4 linked regions of the Arabidopsis thaliana genome follow. The main gene of each other region encodes a partner of the protein of the gene in region 3 in a complex. Each region holds a gene or a part of one and is shown on either strand. Other genes may lie near its edges.

Region 1 (5,942 bases), on a different chromosome or scaffold from region 3:
TAAGTATGTTTTGGGTCTTTTACCAATACAGGAGGCTCAAATTGAAGACTACTTCAAACCGATAGACAAGCATGCTAGTACCATAATGGAAATTCAGCTCGAAGGAGAGAAGAAAACGATGGGGACAATGATGAACGCAACACAACAGGAAGCTATACGAAAGATTGAAGAAGCTGAGAAACTCGCTCGGGCACGTGGAAATGCAAATGTGACTACAGATGCAAACATGGGAGATAAGATCCAGGATTCAGAGTCCTCAGCCAACGAAAAATCTCAAGCAAAATGAAGTCAGATCTTGTCTTCATGTTGACACAGAATAGATTCAGCGTCTCTGAATACATCCTCTTAGTTGATTAAACTGAGATTGTAGCCTCGCATTTGCTGAGGTTTTAATAATTTTGAAATTTGGTCAACTGAATAGAATCAAAACCGAGATTGTGTTCTGTCTAGCGTACAAGAAATTATAGAGGTGACCCTGGTTGGACCATCCCCAACGACCACGTTTTGTCAATATATGTTGTTTCAAACTTAACTTCGCCTAATAAAGTATATTGTGATTTACAATGGATCGGTCTTACAGCTTAAAGGTTTCAACTTTCAACTTCGTGGGTACCAACACCAAGTACTTTTCCTACGTTTGGGGTGCGCATGTGTTAGCAGGATAAAAACGATGGTAACTAATAGAGTAACAAGACATCAAATGGCTACTCTTTTTTCTCTTTCTGCTGAAACCTCACGAAAGACATAGTTTGTAGAATCGAAGCATGATGTTTTGTTTTAATACGAGAAGAAAATGTGAGTTTCTTCTTGTTACCTGCTTTGGGTATGAAGAAACTCACGCATCTGATTGTGAACTTCGGATTTCACAACAAGTCGCATTCTCTTAGAGTCTTCCCAAAGAAGGCCTCTCCATTCCCGAGCAAAGTCACAAGCTGCCTCAAACACATCCTGCTAACATGATTTTGGTTAATGAGATTTACTATAACGGTTTTGCGTTATGGAGAAGAGAAAATAATAAGAGGGTTCAGGTTTGTTACTTTTGAAGGAAATTCATCATAGAAGTGAGCCTGGGTCATCTCAATTCTCTGCAGATCTGTCTCCCAAAGCCGAATCTGCCAGAACAATGCATTTTTATTCAACATAAGCCTGATGAATCAGGACGTAGAGATAGTATACACTTTCAATTCTATAAACCAATCCTATACACATTTTTGTATAATCGACACTTGATGGGCATAGAGAGTATAAACCTGATCAGTGACATTTTCTGGAATAGATGGGACTCGATCAGCACATCGTGGATGAGAATTCTGCTGGAGGAAAGTTATAATCTGTGACAATCAAAAGAAAAGGAAAAAATATTTATTCAGAAACTATAAAGAGACGCATCAACAATTTGATCAACATTTCAAGGACAGTGAGGATCCGGGCAAAATCATGTATTCGATAACTTCAAAATGTTTTTCAACTGAAACCAACTGTACCTGATCTGATGTGATGCCATTGTCAAATGCATTGTACAAACTTTCCTTTGTAATGGCACAAGCAATAAGGTTTGGAAGTTGGTACTCTATCCTGGAAATAATGAAGCACCAACTACTTAGACCTAAAGGATTTTAAGACACAGAAGAGTAAAGTTTCAGGTCGATGTTCAGGAGCTTCTACCTCGCAAATAGTCGTAAAATTTCACACTGTAACTTAGATGTGGAGTACGCATACATTCTGAAGTTTGTTTCCATCACGACAAATCCCTGATGAGGAACAACAAACAACAGCGATACACAAAATCAAGAAAATTGTTGGTAGCAGGTAGATATGGGACAAGAGGGGAATAAAAAAGGTGTGACCTCTTTTCGCGCTGATGAATCTGCCAGACTGACTGATAAATTTGTAGCCAGTTTAGTAGGAATAAACCAACTGTCTTTCCTTCCCTTCAATAATCATAAAGACTGGCTCAGCATGTGATATAGTTCTATAATCATAACTTTAGCAAAGTTTTTTTTCTTTTGATATTTGGTAATAAAAAAAATATTACAAATGGTCTAAGTCTAACCTGTTGAAGCTTGACTAATCCCAAGTCTGCAAGGTCCTTGAGGGTATTGTTTTGAACCTCTGTCAAGGTATTTAAGTTATATGCCTGCAATGTGTAAGCTCACCGAAATAATTAACAAGCATCCCGCTAAATCAAGTAAGAGTAAAAACAAGAACAAGAACGCTTGAAATGACTTTTTTGTGAAGTTCTGTTATACCTGACCAGTAACATGAAAACTAAGCTCCAACAAAAACGAAATCAAGTCTGCTGGATCTACATCTCGCTCCTGAGAAACACTGGCATTGGGTTATCCATTCGGCGAAATAGAGATATCAATTTCACAAAACCTTAGGAATAATACAAACCTCGGCATTCAATATGTATTCTCGAATAATGTACCAAAGCTGGGCATTTGTATCCATCAGCTGAAAATTGAGGTCAATCAGGTTACTTACATGAATACAGGTAATTATAGACCACTGACTCACGATTTGCATACCAAAAACTGAAAGCCACTCTCAGTTAATCTCGGGCCATCTTTGTCTCTGCAATATTACATGAAGTGTATCAAATAGGGAGGCTATATGCCACCACTATGCATCTATAGACGTGTATGAAAACATTACCTCTGACTCAATAAACCTCGCTGAAAAATTTTCATCATGGATGAACTGATGCCAGTTAGTTTTTCACCTTGACCCGAATTTATAAGTTGTAGCAAGAAACACTGACAAACATAAGTACACATCATCAGATACTAACCAAGTTCATATTAAAAGATATTTGTTTTACAAATTACTTCCACCTTACTAGTATTATCAATAAGAAATTAGGAAATACACACACCTCCCATTGCTTAAGTGCATAGGTTTCGAGTTCTTGTAGGCTTGGAAGTTTAATGGCATTGTCGGAGTTCATAGGCTCTCTAGGCAAAACTCCACTGCAAAATTCAAATTTAGCTCATCAGCATCTTCTCCAAAAGCCTAGAGAAAAAACGAAAAAGGAGAGTACCGTCAATGTAAAGATGTCTTTACCCGGAAATAATATGTTTCTGAAGATTGTTCTGAAATGTAGGATTTAGGCTGTAGCTGGTTCCCCTTTTCCTGCAAAAGTACGAAGAGCAGCTTAAGAACTAAATCTGAACTATCATCTTGCCACATACAATCATAATCAATCCAAACACAGTAAATTGAAGTATAAGATGAAGCTCATAGGGTTCAATGCTCAAGTTAACATCCACCATCACTCTTTTAAATAAATATATCAAATAAACCCTCCAACGTGAATAGACAGAAGTATTGAACTAACTGAAATAAGTCAAATCATGACAGTATCAAGAATAAAGCAAGAATGCATACCTATCACTAATTTCTGAAAAAATCCTTAATTGAATCAGTCGATCAATAGCAACTCTATGTTTAGAGGTGCCATCTGCGAGCACCCACTCCTCCATCATCGTAGCAGGTACAGGAACATCAATGTACAACATCTGCAATACATACTTCTTGGCAAGAGGCGGCAAAGACCTGACACCATCTTAAGAATGTAAGATCCTCAATTTTTTCAAAATTCAACAACATAGACACATAAATTAACCTGAGAATGGCTTCGCAGATAAAGACATTGTTGTAGAGTTTGTCAAGCTTGATGGCTGGAAGTGACGCCACCATGTCCATGAAATTTTTAGCAATGATCTTAACTTGCGGCATCTTCACCAATTGGATTCCCTTACTCACTGGACCGGTTCTAAAAGAGCACAGTTTCCACGAAATTAGGGTTTATGCCACACAGCGATCAGCTCGAAGCAAACCTAGTTAACTAAAGCATCTCCTCAAAAAAAACAAATCCAAAACAGTTCTAAACAAGAACTCCAGAAAACAAATAAGGAAGGATTTAAAGTTTCGGGTTCGAGTTTGAGAACAATACAGAATTGAATTTAAAGTTTAGGTTCTCTCTTTTCTCGATGAGCTCTTCTACAATTGATCCCGATTATTTACTACCCAGAATCAAAGAAAACTGACGAAATCGATCGAAGAGGATGGCCAAGATAAATTAAGTTTTAATGGGCCTTGTGAATACTACTAATGGGCCTATCTATATAACAAAAATCGCGCCAATTTGTTTTCATGAAAATGGTTGATTAGGGAGAGATATATGCTTGACTGACCAAAATGTAAACAAAAAAAGCTTACGAAACGTTTGATCATCATCTGATAAATTGATTAGTACTGATTTATTCCATCAAAATCAAACTCATACAAACCATTACAATCTTCTTAGTGAGACACAATACATAAATTATATATGAATCTACTACGATTATTTATATTATCATCATTAATTATATTGTCCTAGAGGGCATTATTTAAATATATTAGCCATTGCATACAGAAACCATAATAAATACTATATGATAAAAACACACTGATGAAAAGTGAATCAATTAAGTAAGTAGAATGTTGGAGTCGTAGGTGGCTCCGGCAGTCCAATCAGCGGGAATAGCGTTTGGCGATTGGATCCAATTGATTCCTGCGCTTCCGTAGACTAAGAACCTCAATGTGAGAGTGCCTCTAGGTGGATTCTGCAAATCATGAACCGCTCCAAACACTCTTCTCATACGTCTCCACTCTTTGCAATCCTCCTAAAATCATACATATACATGCATACCATATAATAACGTTTAACTTTGTTTCACAAAATCATCTAAGAGTAAACTATATATTTTGATCCTCAAAAACATATATCTAAGTTTCTCAACATCTTTGATTAAATTTACCTGCCAGACTTCAACGGCGAGGATGTCATTAACACCACCAACGTACAAGACAAGGATGGCAAGATAATGAGGATTGTAGCTTTTCTCATGGATCTTATACACCAGATTATACCCTGCGTATCGGCAAGGGATCCTTTGGTACTCAACGTTGACTACACCGAAGGAGTAGAGCTGATTTTCTGTGCCGGGTCGCGCCATACGTCCGTACGCCTTAGGGCTTAAGATGAAGTCCGTGCCATCTCCTTCTCCGGAGTCCGTAGCCACTACGTATACTCCTTCCTCACTGCAGTGTGGTGGTATCTTGCACCTCACCTTTTTATAATTCATAAAATAAGTTTTTTTTTCTTTCATAATATAAGTTTAGTAATTAATGACATAGCATATACTATAATAATATTTGATGAAATATTGATTGAGATAAGTAGATAACTATATATAATAACCTGGTAACAAGCACCACAGCCAGTTCCATTGTTCCATAGTCGCCATGAAACACCACTCACTTCACCGTTATTGATATCTCTTCCAAATTCTCCATACCCACAATGTCCCCCTGCATCATCAAAAAATTAATTAATTATTCTTATTCTTTCGACAAATATTATGTATATTCTCATAATGGAAAGTTATCATTACTAATTACGCAGTTAATGGACACTTAGTGGACTCGTTTTCAATCATATATGTATTTAGAATTTGAATAAACCTTCAAAATAAAACAAAACAAGAAACCTATACGTAGATATAAAACAAAAATAATTAGTTATGGCTTATAGTGAGATATTACACCAATGTATCTTTTACCAATATATAACGTGTACAAGTCTATACAACAACTAAGAAAATGAAAAAGAATTAAGGTACACGATGTATATAGCAATAACAATTTTAATACGTACGAGGATTTGCTTTGCAATCGGGGCTGCCATAATAAGTAGCTCTAGAGTTAACAAAATCGTCGGATAGACAAAGGAGAGGCAAAAGGACAATGACTTGAACAAATAGAAGAAGCAAAACGTGAGAATGCTTCATATTGTTGTTATCTTATCTATAAATATTGTAAGATTATTAATACTTCTAACTCTTTTTCTTAACAAATGATAGGAATTGATAATAGAATTTCTTATCACAAAA
Region 2 (4,442 bases), on a different chromosome or scaffold from region 3:
TACCGAGCCCTTAATATTATTAAATCACCCACCTGGTGGCCAAAGCACCCGTATCAGAGCTTTTCGTTATGGTTATCTCATCTTGGCGCATCTTCAGCGTAAATTCCGAGACAGAGGTAGTAGAGTATCTTCTTCTTAAAGGAGATCGAGATCGCTCTCGCCATTCATTCACCCTCCGTGGAGTCGCTCTTATTTTGAGCGGAGGAAGTTGATCACCGAGGAAACCAGAGATGGCGTCTTCGAGATTCCAGTCGAATCCTTCAAGGTAGTAGAATGCTGCATCTTTACACGCAGACGTTGCCTTGCAGAACCTAGTGACGTTAGTATCTTCTTCCTTCATGGTGGTGTTAGGGACTTTTCTCAAAGATTAAGTACGTTGTTTACTTATGACAATCACTAAGAATTGTTTCACTTAGATCTAATATAAAAGCTTCTAACAAACAGAGAGATATTTAGGGAAGTAGTTGCGACCTTGTCATGACAGTATCAACAAACAACTGATGATACGGTCTCCTTTTGTTTACCACCGAAATAATTCTTTATTACTACTGTTCGTTTTCTCATGAGTGAAGAAATTTCAAGCCCAAGTTAAATAGAAAATCAAACAATTAAGAATGCTATCTCTGAAAATTTGAGTCGGTTTGTTTTGGATCAATTGTGAGAGAGCAATAGAGTCCACAAAAGAAGAAAGATTTTGGTTAAGGACATAAGACCAATTACAACATCCTATATCACAAAAAAAATTGCTTCCTCTCATCATCTCAATTGTGATTTATAATTGGAAGTGTGAACACATTCATTCTCTCATTCTTCCATCAAAGAAACTGATTTGGGACGGTGAATGCTCTCACAGCCAGGACAGTTGTGTAAGCTCTCGTGGATGTATATGTCACAGTCCAGACAGAAATAGTGCTTGCATTTACGACATGTTACGCATGGGACGGGTTTATTCCCTAAGCAAAAAACAAAAGCACCAATGAGCCTTTATATTTGAGTGAATGGATCGGTTACTTTGTATATACTATGACAAGGGTGAACCGTATCTTAAGTTCAACTACTGGTCTAGTGACCAAATGGTTATTCAACCAACAGTATTAAGACTCTATAAAATGGTGTTCAAGTAGTTACCTGCACCAATTAGGCTCTGTTGGCAACCAAAACAACTCTTTCCCAATTTTCTCCGATTATCATTCAGACTTGAAAGTGCAGGCACCTCATCAAATGGAGCAATCGGGAAGAGATGATGGTATGATCTCGCCAAATGCGGCGAAGAAACAAGTGTTAGACCGCAGATAGTGCATTCCGTAGGGAGGTCACATACCCGAGCTTTGCATCTTGGGCACATGTAACCAGCTCCAATCTTAACTTCCTTATGACACGAACAAATCGCCATTGAACCCTCAGCAGCTCTTTGTGGGAAACCCATCTTGATCAAATTTGCAATTGCAAATTCTGCTATTGCCGGAGGTGGAGGCGCATGTTCAAGCAGAAGATCCTTTAGATGCACCTGCGTGAAAAGACAAATACACACAAAGCACAATGTTATACCATACAAAACAAGTTTTTCAAAGGTCCAAGTGTAAGTAGAAGGTAGCTAAACTCACCTCGTCCACTGCAACTGAATACAATCCGCCAGTTTCCTGGCAGAGGTGTTTACATATGAACATTTCTGCAGAGAGCCCAATTACAGAACATCTTAATTTGGATTTCTTGCATTTTTGAATGGTCTCCATGATATCGCCTGGATCACATGTGCATAAAGCTGAGTACAATATCAGAACCTCGCGGTGACCATAAGATGGAACCTGGTTGAGATGCTCATGTACAAGTTCCAGAGCGTTCTGCAAAGAGGAGTCACCCAAAGCTTCCAACTTCCCCATCAACGCTTTGATGTGAGTCTCAGGACTACCACCAAGATCTGTTAATGTATGCGCAACTCCATTTTTTATAGAGACCAACCCAATTTGACTCAGAGGATTCTGGTCAAAGAACTCTCTAATGAAAGCTTCGACATGTTTGGCCATTATAGCCATCCGGCTTGGTCTGAAATCCATTTCCGCAGCTGCCTAGACACGACAAAACAGTCCAAAGTGTAAGACTTTGCATACCTTGGAACTAGAGAAATTTGAACCCAAATCATAATGTTGCCTTCAATAAAGAATCTGAATAAGGATCACATCCTTAAGCTCTACAAACCCACTTAGAGTAAGATTATCATTGCAAACAATACAGAGCCAATTATAGAACCTATTGAGAAGACTAAAGAGCAGAGATCTCCAAAACTAGAACGACGATTACATTAAAGTTACTTATCAGTGACCCAAAGTGCATAGTTTCTCTTTTATATAAGCTCTGATGAAAGCAACATAAGCTCAATTTCACGCCATCAAACTCAAAGGAAACGGCATTGAAGCTAAAAATCACAAAATCAGCAGCAGCAGCGGCGGATTGCAAAGAAAAATATTTACCCGAGAGAAGTCAATGACGATGTAGAGATATCGAATAAGTCCCTTTTGGATACGAGTACCAGCAGCAGCGGCGGAGAGCATACGAAGACGGCGGCGATACTGAGCATGGTAAATGGCACTGTTATCAATTGGCCGTAAAAGTCCAGACTCATCCTCTTGCAACTCCTCCCAGGATCGGTCGTCAACATAAGCTCTCTCCCACTCGCCGATACCTTCCGCATCTTCGTCGTCCTCTTCTTCTCTTTCATCGTTTGATCTCTTTCTTTGATTACTCATCGTTAACCTCACCGTCTAAGAGACCTAATTACAAAAAGAAGAAGAGAACTCTACTGAAGCCAAAATTTACATAAACAACCCTTACTTATTATAACGTTCACAATTTTGACTGTAACTTCCTATTCTGTATATTTAACCCACCAATCCATGTCCAATCAGAAGTGAAACATTTTATTTTGCTTACACAATAGGAAACATTGATATTGAAACTCATAAAAACTTTATTATACAAAACTTAAATCACTCGATACAACCTTTATACAGCAACATTGAAACTTCTTAGTTCTTACAGCACAATATGATAATTTACCTAAGATCTTATTGAATCTTACAAACATATAGAACTTCTTCTTTGACTTTCTCTATCCACATGGTTACACATTAACCAAAGGTCTTGGCCTTTTAAGATTTAGGTCCCAGAATTTTCGAAAGCTCCTTCAAGATTGGTTTCTCCTTGATAGTATTACCACCTTCATTCTCAATATGCCACTTCTTCGACATGTTTTCAGCCTGAAATTTATGGTCTTTTCGGGTTAGTCTATTAATGATTATGATCCACTTCAGTTGAGAAGATGCAAGTATCTTTGTAAAACATTACCCAAGTTCTTAAGGGCTCTACTTGTTCCTTCATCGACTCCAGTTTTGGCTGAAAAAGATCTTTGCCTTTCGTTCTTATGTCATCAGCCTAACAGAACGAAAATCATACAATAAAACCAAGTAAGGCGATGATGGCATTCAAGATCAGTCAATAATGCTTAGAAATGCTAATCTAAATGATTTAAGTAAGAAAATGGAAACATATGCAATCTTACATTACGCATGTCAAGTTTCGAGGCTGCCGTTCCAAAAACCAAAGTGGCTGAACCAAAGATGATAATAGTAGCGGCTGCAAATGCTTTTCCAACTGCAGAAACCAGAAAAATCAGAGGGCTCGAGATTAGGCAAACTTTCCGAACACTTCACGACATCAATTAACATTAAAAGACAAAAGACAATAACAGAATCTCAATCTAAGCAATATTATCAACAATTTCTAGGCTGTGAGAGAGATACTTAGATTATTTGTCATCAGAGTCAAAAAGAGACAACCAGAAAGCAGTTGTTACATTAGACACTCATGAACCCTCAGCCACGGAAAATCTTGGCTTTCATAACCAAACAAACCAAAGTTTTCTCTAGTAAGCTGAAACCTTTCAGAATTACTGCCATTGCAGTCCCTAACAAGGTAAAATAGACAAGTTTGGGCAAGCAATTTACATGATCAACATTAACAAAAGCAAGGAAGTGAAAACAGAACACGTAAAGATAGCAATCCTTCTATCTCTAGCAAACAACCCAAATCTAGTCATGTTCCTCTGTAGGTAACTGTATCCATAAATCCAATTATCCACGTTCAAAAAGATTTGATTTGCAGATAAACAAAAGAAGAGAAGTGATCATACTATGTTGAAGCCCTTCACCAGCAGCTTTCAATTTCTCAGGATTTACAGGAGTGCCGTATCTGTCTCTCCTCAATTCATTAGCTGTTGACGCCAAAACCGAATTCTCAGATTCCGGTAAATCCCATCTGCAATAAAAATCGACACAAATTAACAACAAATCCAAAATTTTGAAATACTCATCAAGTGAAACAGAGTATAAAACCCTAATTTGAACCTTCTACGGCCGAAAGTGACTTGTGGCAGAGACACATAACCT
Region 3 (7,094 bases):
ATCGATTATATCAATCCGGTGTCGAAGACAGAAATTCTACGACAGAGGGAAAACAAACGGTACCGTAAATATTTTCCGTTGTAAGCTAGACCGAGAAGCGAGCTGCGTCTCCGTCGCATTATGATTCGGATTCGGTGTCGGGTCCAGGTCCGGGTATGTCGAGTCCGTTACTGAGTTGATGTGATCATGTGAATGCAGAGAACGTTATAGCAGAAATGCAAACTCGATTCATATATAGAAAGGCTACAATAACGGATCCAATATGGGCATTTAGTAGGCCTCTTTTAGCGTGGGCTTTCTTTAATCTCAAATTGAGCCCATTATTATTTTTAATTCGAAATCATGACAAGTAATTATTTTTTAACCTCGAAAACTAAGTACGTTTTACTGTTGTTCAGGATCTGTCAACCAAATTATAATCGTGTTTTATATGTTGGTTCAGCGAGATATCATGACAGTTGACAATAACAAAATAATTTTCAAAGGTATTCTCGAGGCGATATCATGATATGCTAGAAAACAAATATCAAAAAAAAGGAAAGAACTTTCTAATATCAATTAATCAATTCACATAATAAAACAAATATCAAATGTTAACGGTCTTTTAAGGTAGGGTGTCTTCGTTTAGGTTTTCTTGATTTTGTGCCTGAAACAAATTTGCACCAAAGTTACAACTCAAAACATATAGCCGAATATGAGTTCTCTTGTCTCAAACATAACGTTTTTTGAAGATATTGTGTCGTTTGGTTGGGTCTTTAGGTTTCTTGGATTGGTTACCAGATTTTTGACGACCTGAGTTGTATTCCATGTAGACCCTTCCATTTGCACCGGACATTGCACTCATCGATCCCATGCTTCGTCGCGTCTTTAGAGCCTTTCCATCTGTGTCTTCTTCAAGTTGTTCTAAACCAACCATATCGTCTCCAGCATTCAACACCTTTCCGAGAAGAGACAACTGTTCTTCTTGACTGTGGTAGCCCAAGCTTGAACCCGCGTCCGGAGGTGGGAGGCTTGTTATTACCTTGAAGCTATAACCTTGGTCGATCAAAAACTGCTGTCTTTTCGTTGAATAATACATTTCCTGCATTTCAACATTCACGATCCTTACATCAGTCATTCTCCATTCAATCAGTCATTCGATTTTTATCGGTTCAGGAATTCAAGTCACGGGTTCTGGAAAGCAAAATTTTTTCTGTGTTTTGGAAACGAGTGCGGACTAGAACTGAATTATATTTTGGTTCTGATTTGGTCTGATGAATTTCAGTTTTTATGGCTACTTCAACAATAAAGTGATTTACCTGTGTATCGGTAGAAACAAGCGAGTAGAAGAATGCATTGTACTCTTCTTTTCCACCAGCCATTCTATCTTCAAGTTTACCCTGTTTTTGATCACGGAGAAATAAAACGTGTTGGATCCAACAACCAAGAGGAACTCTAGGAGAGACGCAAAATGTGATGAGTTATAATACTTAAAATCACACCTTAGCCCTAAGGATACGACCCAAACGTTGAGCCTCTTGACGTCTAGAACCAGCATGTGACGAAATCTGGATGATCACATTCGCTTCAGGGATATCTATGGAGTTATCACCAACCTGTAGTCAATAAAAGAAACCGAAACTAAGTTACTTGATGAAAATGGAATGAACAAGTCTCTATATATTCCCAGGTCAATGGAAAGGAAACAACGCTAATACCTTTGACAGGAATACAGTGTTCACGGTTTTACTGGTTTTAAACGCCTCGAGAATTTTTGTTCGTTCGATATGGCTACATATTGAACAAAGAGAACTATCAGATTGGAAACTGAGTGAAACATACAAAATTGTGCTCTCAATAGGTGGTTCTTTAACGAACCTGGTTGCACCGTAAATCATCGGTTTCCGGAGTTTCATTGCATACTCTGTAAGTGCAAAAAGATTGTCTGCAAAGACGATGATTTTATCCCCACGTTGTTGTTCATGGAAACGTATCAAAAATTCACAGGCTCTGAACTTGTTAGGGTTCATGACATAAAGCGCCTGCAGACACCAGAAGACAAGATATGTAAATGTCAGAACAATTGAAGGGGTTTCCTAGTTTCTATTACAGGGTGATCTATTAGAAGCATTTGCCAAATTATAAGACATACACAAATAACCTATAATATTGATGTTTACCATATTATAAGGTTCTAGACTACATCAAATTCATGGACTCTAGTGTATCAAAACAAACAAACATAAAATAAGATAGTCAATTATTTTAAGATCTTTATCCAGTAAAAATATCCAAGGAAAACAAAGATCAATGCGGAGAAAGCTTAGACGCATTAACCTGTTTTTTTTTCGAGTTCTCTTTCTTCAGATATTCTGCAAAAAACTCTTTGGTCATGGGACACCATACTTCAGCACACTGAACATTTGCAATAAAGCCTCCTTTAACTAAATCTAGCCAATTGGCTTCATAGAGTTTCGGGCCAATGAGGAAGTTTAAATCTGTAATTTTTTCGTCTTCTCTCACAAGGGTGGCTGAACAAAAGACCAAAAAAGAGACTTAGCTTCTGCAACTGAAGTATAACAAATAAAAAGGTATGTGAAAATGAATTTTTCATTTACCTGTAAGTCCTAGCTTGCAGTGAGATTTTGTAATACTGATAACTTTCCTAAACATATGGGCTGGAACCACATGCACCTATGAAAAACATAACTCTTAAAATGTCACGCATTGGATGGAAACTTGTTATTTGTAGATCCCAGTAACACTGGATAGTGGATACACATTCTAAATGAACCACATATAACTTTTCCGCAATGTAAACTACCAGTAAACACTAACTTCAATTCAAAGGCACATCACACTAAGAACAATTTGATTACCTCGTCCATAAGCAGCAACCCCCACTCTCTGTTTCTCATTTCTTCTATAATCTTCTCTGCTTCTTCAGATCGTTTACCACCAAAGGCAATCATATTATAGGTTGTCACAACAACACCAGCATTTCCACGGAATCGTTCTTTACTATCAGAAGTGAAACGGCATATTTGGTCATCTTTTATAGTAGACCACAACTTAAATTGGTAGGCCCATTGATCCACCGAGACAGCATTCGTTGCCAAACAAAGACAACTCTTCTTTATACGAGCCGCTGCAGAAACACCAACTAGAGATTTACCAGCTCCACAAGGTAACACTATAATCCCAGATCTTGCTCGTCCTGCAGAATCAGGAGTCTAGATCAGTCACAAGCTTTCAGGAGAAATAACAAAGATACTTATCTATTAGAAGTTCACAATGAAGCTAGATCAGAACAGTGTATGAAAGTACAAATCTATATATCTAAGAGAAGTTCACAATCAATTTAGCAGTCGCTGTAAACAAATTACTAAGGAAAATAAATGCGGGCGTAGACAGTTATATCGTATTACCGTTTCCAAACATTTTGCTCAAACTTTTTTCCTGGTATGGCCTTGGTTGTGCATGGGGCTTCAGTTCCATGTCAAGATCAGGATTAACCTGACAGACACCATCAAGTTATTAACAATCACGAACATCCAGTTCATATCATCTGATAAGTAAAAATTGACCTGAAGTGTGATAATTATTTCTCACATTATCGTTCCTGAAGTCATATTCCTCTAACATAGGGTAATTCAAGGCATTTGGCAAGCAACGCTGCTTAACATTCTCCACCTACACACCAAGAGCAGAAGAACATGACACCGTGAGTTGAGTAAAGATCATATAACATTAACAAAGTCATCAACACGATTTATTTCAGAAGCATTAGGGGAAATTTACCAGTGCAGGGTCTATCTCAAATGAGTGAGTTTCTTTCTCTTCTGCTGCTGCTGCCAATTCTGCTTCATTCAACAACTCCCCAGGTCCTGCTTCAAGTTCACCACTTGTTTTGCCGATCGTAAATCCATCACCACCATAATATGGCTAGAAAAAAAGTTAATAAGTTGGTTCAACATACTGTGGAGAATACAATGGTATAAGAGATATCAATTTCACATTCAATGAACCAAGGAGTTTAAAAAGAAGGATAATGAGTTTATTTATCTATTAAATAGTTCAAGAAAAAATTAGAATTTAAACACGAAACCAATAGCCCCAAGAGAATCAGGATAGATCTCTCTGCCGCATTGGTATCAAAAGATGCAAAAACTGTTGAGAACAACAGATCATGGTATGTATTTCCATCCAGTAATAGTAAACATAAAGCACTAAATTGAGGAGTTCAACATACCTCAGAAGTAAATCTTGCTCGATTTATGACATCATCACTGAGAAGCCTTTTCAACACCTAAGATTGTTTATATTTAACGAGTGAGCAAAACCAACAGAGAAACTACACAAAAATCCCATACGCATAACTAGAGAAAGAGGATCAGTCTGGTGAACTTACCTCCGGGAATGGTGATTCAATAAAATACCGATTTTTCTTCAATACCAACTTCACTTTCCCATAATTAGCAGTAGAAGCATGGATGAAATCAATGATCTCCCCGGGTAGCTTGGTCTTAGATAGCTTATTCAAAACAGAGATGATAGTTTCTGTCTCAAGACCAACGGAAACAGCAGCATACAACGAGTGTGGGGTTAAATTATACTCGTGCATTGACTCAGGCCTGAAATAGTAACAAATGAATGAAAATCAACAACAAAAATCATAACTTGTACATTGATATAATAATCAAATCAAAATCAAACCTGCAAACGGGTTCAGCAATGGCGATAAGAAAGTCATAAGCTTGTTTATAGAGAGGAGAAAATGTCTCCAAGAAAATCTTTCCATCAGCACAAGCCCACAAAGGCCTATTTCCATGATCCGGCTTCAACTCCAAATCAGTAAAATCTCTCCTCTTCTCCTCTCCTTCACCTTTAAAAACCATTATAAATTCTATTTCAATTTTGTTCCCAATGTATCTATGTTAATTATACGAGAGTAATCAATATTACCATCACGAGAATCCTCATCAGCATCATCATAGTAATCTTCAACGTTTTGTATGTTCTTCATCTTTTGATCATCCTGAGATTTTTACAGTACAATTACACTAACTAGAAGTGAAGAGCCTAATAAATAAAAAAAGTCATGTGGAGAAGAATCAACACGAACCTTCCCACCGTACTTCATCTTCTTTGTAGGTCGTTTTCTTTCATCTAAACATCAACATTTTCCCCAGTATTAGCATACTCTTTTCACCGGATAATTCAATAAACGAATCAAAACTCAGTACGATCGAGATTCGAGACCATTACCGTTTCCCATATTGATTTTCTTCTTTTCGCTCCTCTTAATCAAATCGATTTTAGGGATTGTTTCTCTTGTATTTTCAATTTGTGAATTCGCACATAACCTAAATTGTACGACGGAGGGAATATACAACCGTCTTCGTGGTAATTTCCCGTTGTAAGCTATTCAACGAAGCAAGCTGCGTCTCCGGCGAATTCGGATTCCTGTGTCGAGTCGGTGACTCGTTTGAAGCGGAGGAAGGAAATTGTTAAGCAGAAACGTAAGAACACGATTCATATATAAAGGCTGCAGTAACAGATCAAATATGGGCTTTTAATAGGATTCTTTAAATGGGCTTTATTCTTAAGTTTGAGCCCATGTTTCTTTTTTAAACATCGATAAATTATTTGCCGGAAAAAAAATAGTAATAATTTTACTGAAAATGGTACTTCCCAATTTATAATTTTTTGGTCGACACTTTTCAGCCGATTTTCAGTTATGTAATTTCATTATTGAAATTTTGAAAAATACATTGTAACGGAAAAAATAAAATAATTAATCAGCTAATTAATAATTGTATTAATGAATTTAATAAATCAGGTAAGTAAATATAATATTGAGCCCAAAAAGAGTCTTTGTAATTTCTTAGGAAAGTCATTTTGATAGAGCGCACGATAAACACAGCACCGCAAAAAGCACAGAAGCAGAGAAAGACGAAGACAAAACAAAAAAAGCTTCCCCCAAGAACAAAAAGTAAAATTCTCTCTATGATTTTGAGATTTTTAATTCCTCTTCTCTGATTCAATCTCGAGAAGATGATCGGTTCTTCTTTGGTGTTTGTTCTTGCTAGTGATCGCTTTTCTTTAGGTTTTGAGCTTGATTTTTGTGTGAAATTCTGTGGGTTTTTTTTTTACTGTTTTGATCCGTATTTCTCCTATGTGTTTATGCTAGATTCTGAGAATTCTGATGTTTATTGTTGCTTTTATAAGTTTCGGTTTAGGGTTTTACGGATTAGCTTGCTCTTAATGGAGCTTTGGTTCTTTTTGTGGATTCATTGTTTGTGTTGGAGTTAAATTCTGAGTAGAATTGTTTTAAGTTTTTGGGGTTTAGTGTAAAACTGATTTGAATTTATTGCAATTGTGTGTAGATGGTGCTAAAGAGAATGAGAATTGTAGGAGATTCACATAGGCTTGTAGTCGCAACACTGTTGTCTCGATTTTAATGGTTGATGTTTATTGTATCTTTGATTATTGAGAGTGAATTTGAACTGTTAGTAGCTGAATTGTTTTATTGTTGCTACTAGCATGATGAGTCTGATCAGACTTTAGTAGACAGCTCAAACTGATATCGAAAACGATAAAGCTTGTTTGAGTTTCTTGCATATAGATGATAAATATTCTCCTACTGATCTCAGAATGTAATTTGTTTCTTCACATATCTTGTAGGTTAGCATAGATGAAGAGTCTTCGGGTTTTGTAGTTTTTGTAAAACAGAAAAAAAAAAAAAGAGAAGAAGAGATGGGAGGTTGCTGTTGTTGTTCTTCTTCACGAAGAGCTGATGTAGATAATGGACCTGCGTACTACTACGTTAGTCTGATACTTCTCCCACTTCCTCGTTTTTTTTGGGTGTCCTTGCTTTGATAGGCTGCAAATAAATCAATCTTGATGTGCTTCAGGACACTAAATGAGTTAAAAGCCCCAACGGGCTTCGAGATTCATATGGGAATATAACTTGTTTTATGACTTGTATTTTGCAGTACCCAAGGGCAACAGAAGAGCGTGTGCCTTTATCTTCCGCTCATAACAGGACTTCCTCTGCAATCTCTACTGGTGTTGTAGTAGTAGACACAAACTTAGAGACATCATCTCCTGAT
Region 4 (3,407 bases), on a different chromosome or scaffold from region 3:
ACAAAAATTACACGGCTCTCGTGCCCAAACCCAAACTGTTTACTATTTAATTGGGCTAAATCTATAGAGGCCCAATGGCTTATAAATCATAGATTCATAATACTGAAATATTAAACCGGCGTAAATGGTACGTACTTCGGGAAATAACGAATTCGATTTTAACCGGAAACTGAACCGGAAGCTGAGTCTCGTGCCTGCCTTCTCTAGGCTTCTTTGTTTCCGATCAGAATCTCGAGCTCAACTGTCAAAACTAGCCGACCACTAAGTCGTTGTCCTAACTTTCTCTCTGTTCCTCATCGAACATTATTGGGAGGAGAGAGAGAGAGAGAGAAGACCAAGAAACAACGAGGATAGATCCGAGGAAATTGTCGGAACCAAAAGGAGGAAGATGGGAGATATCTGGACATGGCTTATTTCCTTCTTCTTCCTCATCGCTCTTGTCGGAATCATCGTCTATCAGGTGCGATTCCCAATTTCTAGGATAAATAAACCCAAAGTTCTTAACTTTTCTATCGGAATTTGCCAATTTTTTCGCTTACGGTTATAATGATACCATATTTGTCCATTTTGATTCATTTGGAGCCTTTTTTTTGTTTCTGGGTAGTCTGTGATTTAGCTAGAATTAGGGTTTTATGTTCTTGTCACATGTTTGGAAGAAGTAAAGGTGTAATTTTTGGGAATGTTATCATCAAAGGAGTAAATTCAGGAACATATATAGTGCGTATTGGCTTCTCAAAACACTTTTATAGGTTCATAGTTAGTTCTTATGTTGGATGTTCATGTCAGGTCTGAGGATTTACCTCCTTAAGCACAGGTTGTTCTTTTATAAATGAGCTCCATTTCGGCATAATGAAGTGAACCCTTTAGTTTTGTTTGTGTAGACTCTAATGAGAGGAGTCACTGAGACTGATAAGCTAGCAAACGGAATCTTCCATGTATAAACAGCTTGGGAAGACATTTTCTAGGAAGCTAACTTCTCTTTTCTGAATTTGAATTCTTTCATTTGCAGCTTGTTTGCTTAGCGGATCTCGAGTTTGATTACATCAACCCTTACGACTCTGCGTCGAGAATAAACTCAGTGGTTTTACCGGAGTTCATTGTTCAAGGAGTTCTATGCGTATTCTACCTCCTAACAGGACACTGGTTCATGACACTCTTATGTCTCCCCTATCTATACTACAACTTCCATCTGTAAGTCCAACTAATCTCAATCTTTTGCTCCAATCAAATGTTGTGGTATTGATATCCTTTCGGTTTCTCCGTTGTTCAGTTACTCGAAGCGACAACACTTAGTAGATGTCACCGAGATCTTCAATTTGCTTAACTGGGAAAAGAAGAAACGGCTGTTCAAGCTTGCTTACATTGTCCTTAACCTCTTTCTCACTATCTTCTGGTAACGAGAAAGATATTTCGAATCCCATTATTGCTTAACCATAAGTAGATCAAGAGAGCTAAAACACTTTCTGTTTGCAACTTTTTTTCGTAGGATGATTTATTCGGCGCTGGATGATTACGAGGACTGACTAATGAAGAAGACATGGTCCATCTTCTTCGGTTTATTGACACTACGCTTAAAGATACAGCGACATGCTTGTGGACATGAAAAAAAGCAAGGAAAAGTGTTTGCTTTGTGATGTTTGTAAGATTAGTGGCAGGAAGATTTGTGTATTTATTTCTTTCTTAGAAACATGTTCAGATTAACTGTTTTTTTTATGTCTTGATCATTATTTGTACAAGCAATCAAGCTCGTAAACTACTGGTTACAGTAACAATGAAACTGAATAATTTCAAATATAAGAAGAAAAAAAGTTAATTCATGTGAACTTTGACTTTTAAAAGTGAGAAACCCTTTTGAGTGATGTAATAAACGATAACTTAAAAGATGATCCGAACCTTCTGTTTCAGTTTTGTAATTAGGTTATCTTATAAAGCTAATCCTTCTCTCCTTTACTGTGACAATAATCGTCGTTATCAAGGTGATTTCTTTCTCTGCCTCAAACATCGCTTACCCTCTTGATTGATTCCTCCAATCTTCTTCGTGTGGTTTCACAGGTGTGTGGTTGATCTCTAGACCAAATTGATCTGGTTTCATCCTATTTCTATTTGGTCTGTAATCGTTAAAGTCTTAAGATTTGGGAATCGAGTTTATGTTGTGGTGTTTAGGTAGCGAAACCCCAGTTATGTAATCGTTGCATCTAGTAATTTGGGGTCCTTGAATTGAAACAAAGGATTAATCTTTCATTCATCTATGTTCTGAGTTATCGAGGATGTTCTTGGGTCATCTTTTGATGAAAATTGAGCTCAGATTATTCGTGTTTTGTATTACAGGTTTTACTTATGGTTAATGCAATCAAAGGAGTGTTCGTCTCTTGGTACTTCTTACCGTTGTTACGATTCCTAAGCAAATCTTGATGAACACAATTGAATCATTCATTGTTTCTTTGTATCTTTTGTTTGTTTGCAGCGATATTCCGATGACACAATTCATAGTGAACATGAACAATTCGATGCCTCCGTCTCAGAAATTCATAATTCATGTACTTGATAGTACTCACTTGTTCGTGCAACCACATGTAGAGCAGATGATCCGCAGCGCCATTTCTGATTTTAGAGATCAAAACTCTTACGAGAAGCCCACTTCTTAGATCACATCACATCACACTTGCTTCTTGTTTTTCTTTCATTTGATTCAAATGAATAAAAACTTCATTGAGATCGTGAGATTGGTTGATATGGCTCATGCTTTAATAGAGTTAAAGTGAACTTTGTTGACAAATAATCTCTCTGTACCGGTTTAGTATCAGTCGGTTTTCTCTGGTTGTGTTGATTACTTTGTCACTCTTTTGTTGAATAAACACGTTTGTTTGGTTATTGTTCAATTACTTGTAGTAGATAATAAACAGATTAAAGAATTCGGAAGTTCCAAATTTCATTTTACTCATGAAGGATGAACCAAGTAAAATCAGAAACTAAGTTAACCACATACAATTTGCACATGTGAACCAATTCGGTTAAGCAAACCAATAAACCAATCTTCTTCAACAAATTACCCAATCTGTATGTAAGCTTTTCCACTTCTTCTAGTCTTAAAATAAAACAAACAAAAAATCTAGTGTTCGGCTCTAACACGCTCGACGACCATGGCGGTCTCGTTTAATACAACGCTTCACCAGCCTTCTCTGAGTCCGAGGTAATCTTCAATTTATCTAAATTTACATACTTTTGTCTCTGTTCACACATATTCACTTGCATCTGATTGCTTTGTTATGTCCTTTTTGCAGCTGTAGCATCAAGCTTTATTCTGGGTTAAAGCCTCAATCTGCAAGTTTGTTCCTTTTCCTCTTAATATGTCCGAAAGTTCATGTTTTTAATCGAATTGGTCTGCGAGATGTGAGGGAACTGATTTA

The links.
Region 1: XPB2 (region 3) and AT4G17020 share a complex: the UniProt entries of both Arabidopsis thaliana proteins name them as parts of the 7-subunit TFIIH core complex.
Region 2: XPB2 (region 3) and GTF2H2 share a complex: the UniProt entries of both Arabidopsis thaliana proteins name them as parts of the 7-subunit TFIIH core complex.
Region 4: XPB2 (region 3) and AT1G12400 share a complex: the UniProt entries of both Arabidopsis thaliana proteins name them as parts of the 7-subunit TFIIH core complex.

What each region holds. Positions count from the first base shown.
Region 1 is NC_003075.7:9,577,342-9,583,283, forward strand, and holds AT4G17020 (transcription factor-like protein), read right to left. Parts: upstream 4,099-5,942; 5' UTR 3,742-4,098; coding exon 3,629-3,741; intron 3,559-3,628; coding exon 3,391-3,558; intron 3,136-3,390; coding exon 3,067-3,135; intron 2,973-3,066; coding exon 2,879-2,972; intron 2,760-2,878; coding exon 2,659-2,759; intron 2,578-2,658; coding exon 2,532-2,577; intron 2,458-2,531; coding exon 2,398-2,457; intron 2,319-2,397; coding exon 2,250-2,318; intron 2,138-2,249; coding exon 2,054-2,137; intron 1,932-2,053; coding exon 1,848-1,931; intron 1,752-1,847; coding exon 1,666-1,751; intron 1,576-1,665; coding exon 1,485-1,575; intron 1,332-1,484; coding exon 1,251-1,331; intron 1,113-1,250; coding exon 1,038-1,112; intron 949-1,037; coding exon 815-948; coding exon of another isoform or gene 811-814; exon of another isoform or gene 726-810; coding exon 632-725; coding exon of another isoform or gene 598-631; 3' UTR 534-597; downstream 1-533. Other genes in the region: AT4G17010 (transcription factor IIIB), read left to right, coding at 32-286; EXLB1 (expansin-like B1), read right to left, coding at 4,476-4,673, 4,809-5,120, 5,252-5,361, 5,708-5,840. UniProt on the Arabidopsis thaliana protein: Component of the general transcription and DNA repair factor IIH (TFIIH) core complex, which is involved in general and transcription-coupled nucleotide excision repair (NER) of damaged DNA and, when complexed to CAK, in RNA transcription by RNA polymerase II.
Region 2 is NC_003070.9:1,448,109-1,452,550, forward strand, and holds GTF2H2 (general transcription factor II H2), read right to left. Parts: upstream 2,794-4,442; 5' UTR 2,745-2,793; coding exon 2,469-2,744; intron 2,067-2,468; coding exon 1,605-2,066; intron 1,508-1,604; coding exon 1,129-1,507; intron 954-1,128; coding exon 805-953; 3' UTR 523-804; downstream 1-522. Other genes in the region: AT1G05040 (UBA-like domain protein), read right to left, coding at 33-340; AT1G05060 (coiled-coil protein), read right to left, coding at 3,147-3,254, 3,343-3,429, 3,557-3,648, 4,187-4,311, 4,401-4,442. UniProt on the Arabidopsis thaliana protein: Component of the general transcription and DNA repair factor IIH (TFIIH) core complex, which is involved in general and transcription-coupled nucleotide excision repair (NER) of damaged DNA and, when complexed to CAK, in RNA transcription by RNA polymerase II.
Region 3 is NC_003076.8:16,542,737-16,549,830, reverse strand, and holds XPB2 (homolog of Xeroderma pigmentosum complementation group B 2), read right to left. Parts: upstream 5,492-7,094; 5' UTR 5,258-5,491; coding exon 5,248-5,257; intron 5,149-5,247; coding exon 5,105-5,148; intron 5,018-5,104; coding exon 4,945-5,017; intron 4,865-4,944; coding exon 4,696-4,864; intron 4,614-4,695; coding exon 4,391-4,613; intron 4,289-4,390; coding exon 4,232-4,288; intron 3,925-4,231; coding exon 3,781-3,924; intron 3,673-3,780; coding exon 3,592-3,672; intron 3,496-3,591; coding exon 3,408-3,495; intron 3,197-3,407; coding exon 2,859-3,196; intron 2,674-2,858; coding exon 2,598-2,673; intron 2,511-2,597; coding exon 2,317-2,510; intron 2,022-2,316; coding exon 1,858-2,021; intron 1,771-1,857; coding exon 1,698-1,770; intron 1,596-1,697; coding exon 1,482-1,595; intron 1,380-1,481; coding exon 1,299-1,379; intron 1,082-1,298; coding exon 710-1,081; 3' UTR 647-709; coding exon of another isoform or gene 594-646; 3' UTR 504-593; downstream 1-503. Other genes in the region: AT5G41350 (RING/U-box superfamily protein), read left to right, coding at 6,443-6,445, 6,667-6,807, 6,978-7,094. UniProt on the Arabidopsis thaliana protein: ATP-dependent 3'-5' DNA helicase/translocase; binds dsDNA rather than ssDNA, unzipping it in a translocase rather than classical helicase activity. Component of the general transcription and DNA repair factor IIH (TFIIH) core complex.
Region 4 is NC_003070.9:4,219,959-4,223,365, forward strand, and holds AT1G12400 (Nucleotide excision repair, TFIIH, subunit TTDA), read left to right. Parts: upstream 1-1,868; 5' UTR 1,869-2,052; intron 2,053-2,328; 5' UTR 2,329-2,337; coding exon of another isoform or gene 2,338-2,372; 5' UTR 2,373-2,411; coding exon 2,412-2,645; 3' UTR 2,646-2,907; downstream 2,908-3,407. Other genes in the region: AT1G12390 (Cornichon family protein), read left to right, coding at 389-460, 1,010-1,191, 1,271-1,393, 1,487-1,523; CLP2 (CLP protease proteolytic subunit 2), read left to right, coding at 3,141-3,190, 3,282-3,325. UniProt on the Arabidopsis thaliana protein: Component of the general transcription and DNA repair factor IIH (TFIIH) core complex, which is involved in general and transcription-coupled nucleotide excision repair (NER) of damaged DNA and, when complexed to CAK, in RNA transcription by RNA polymerase II.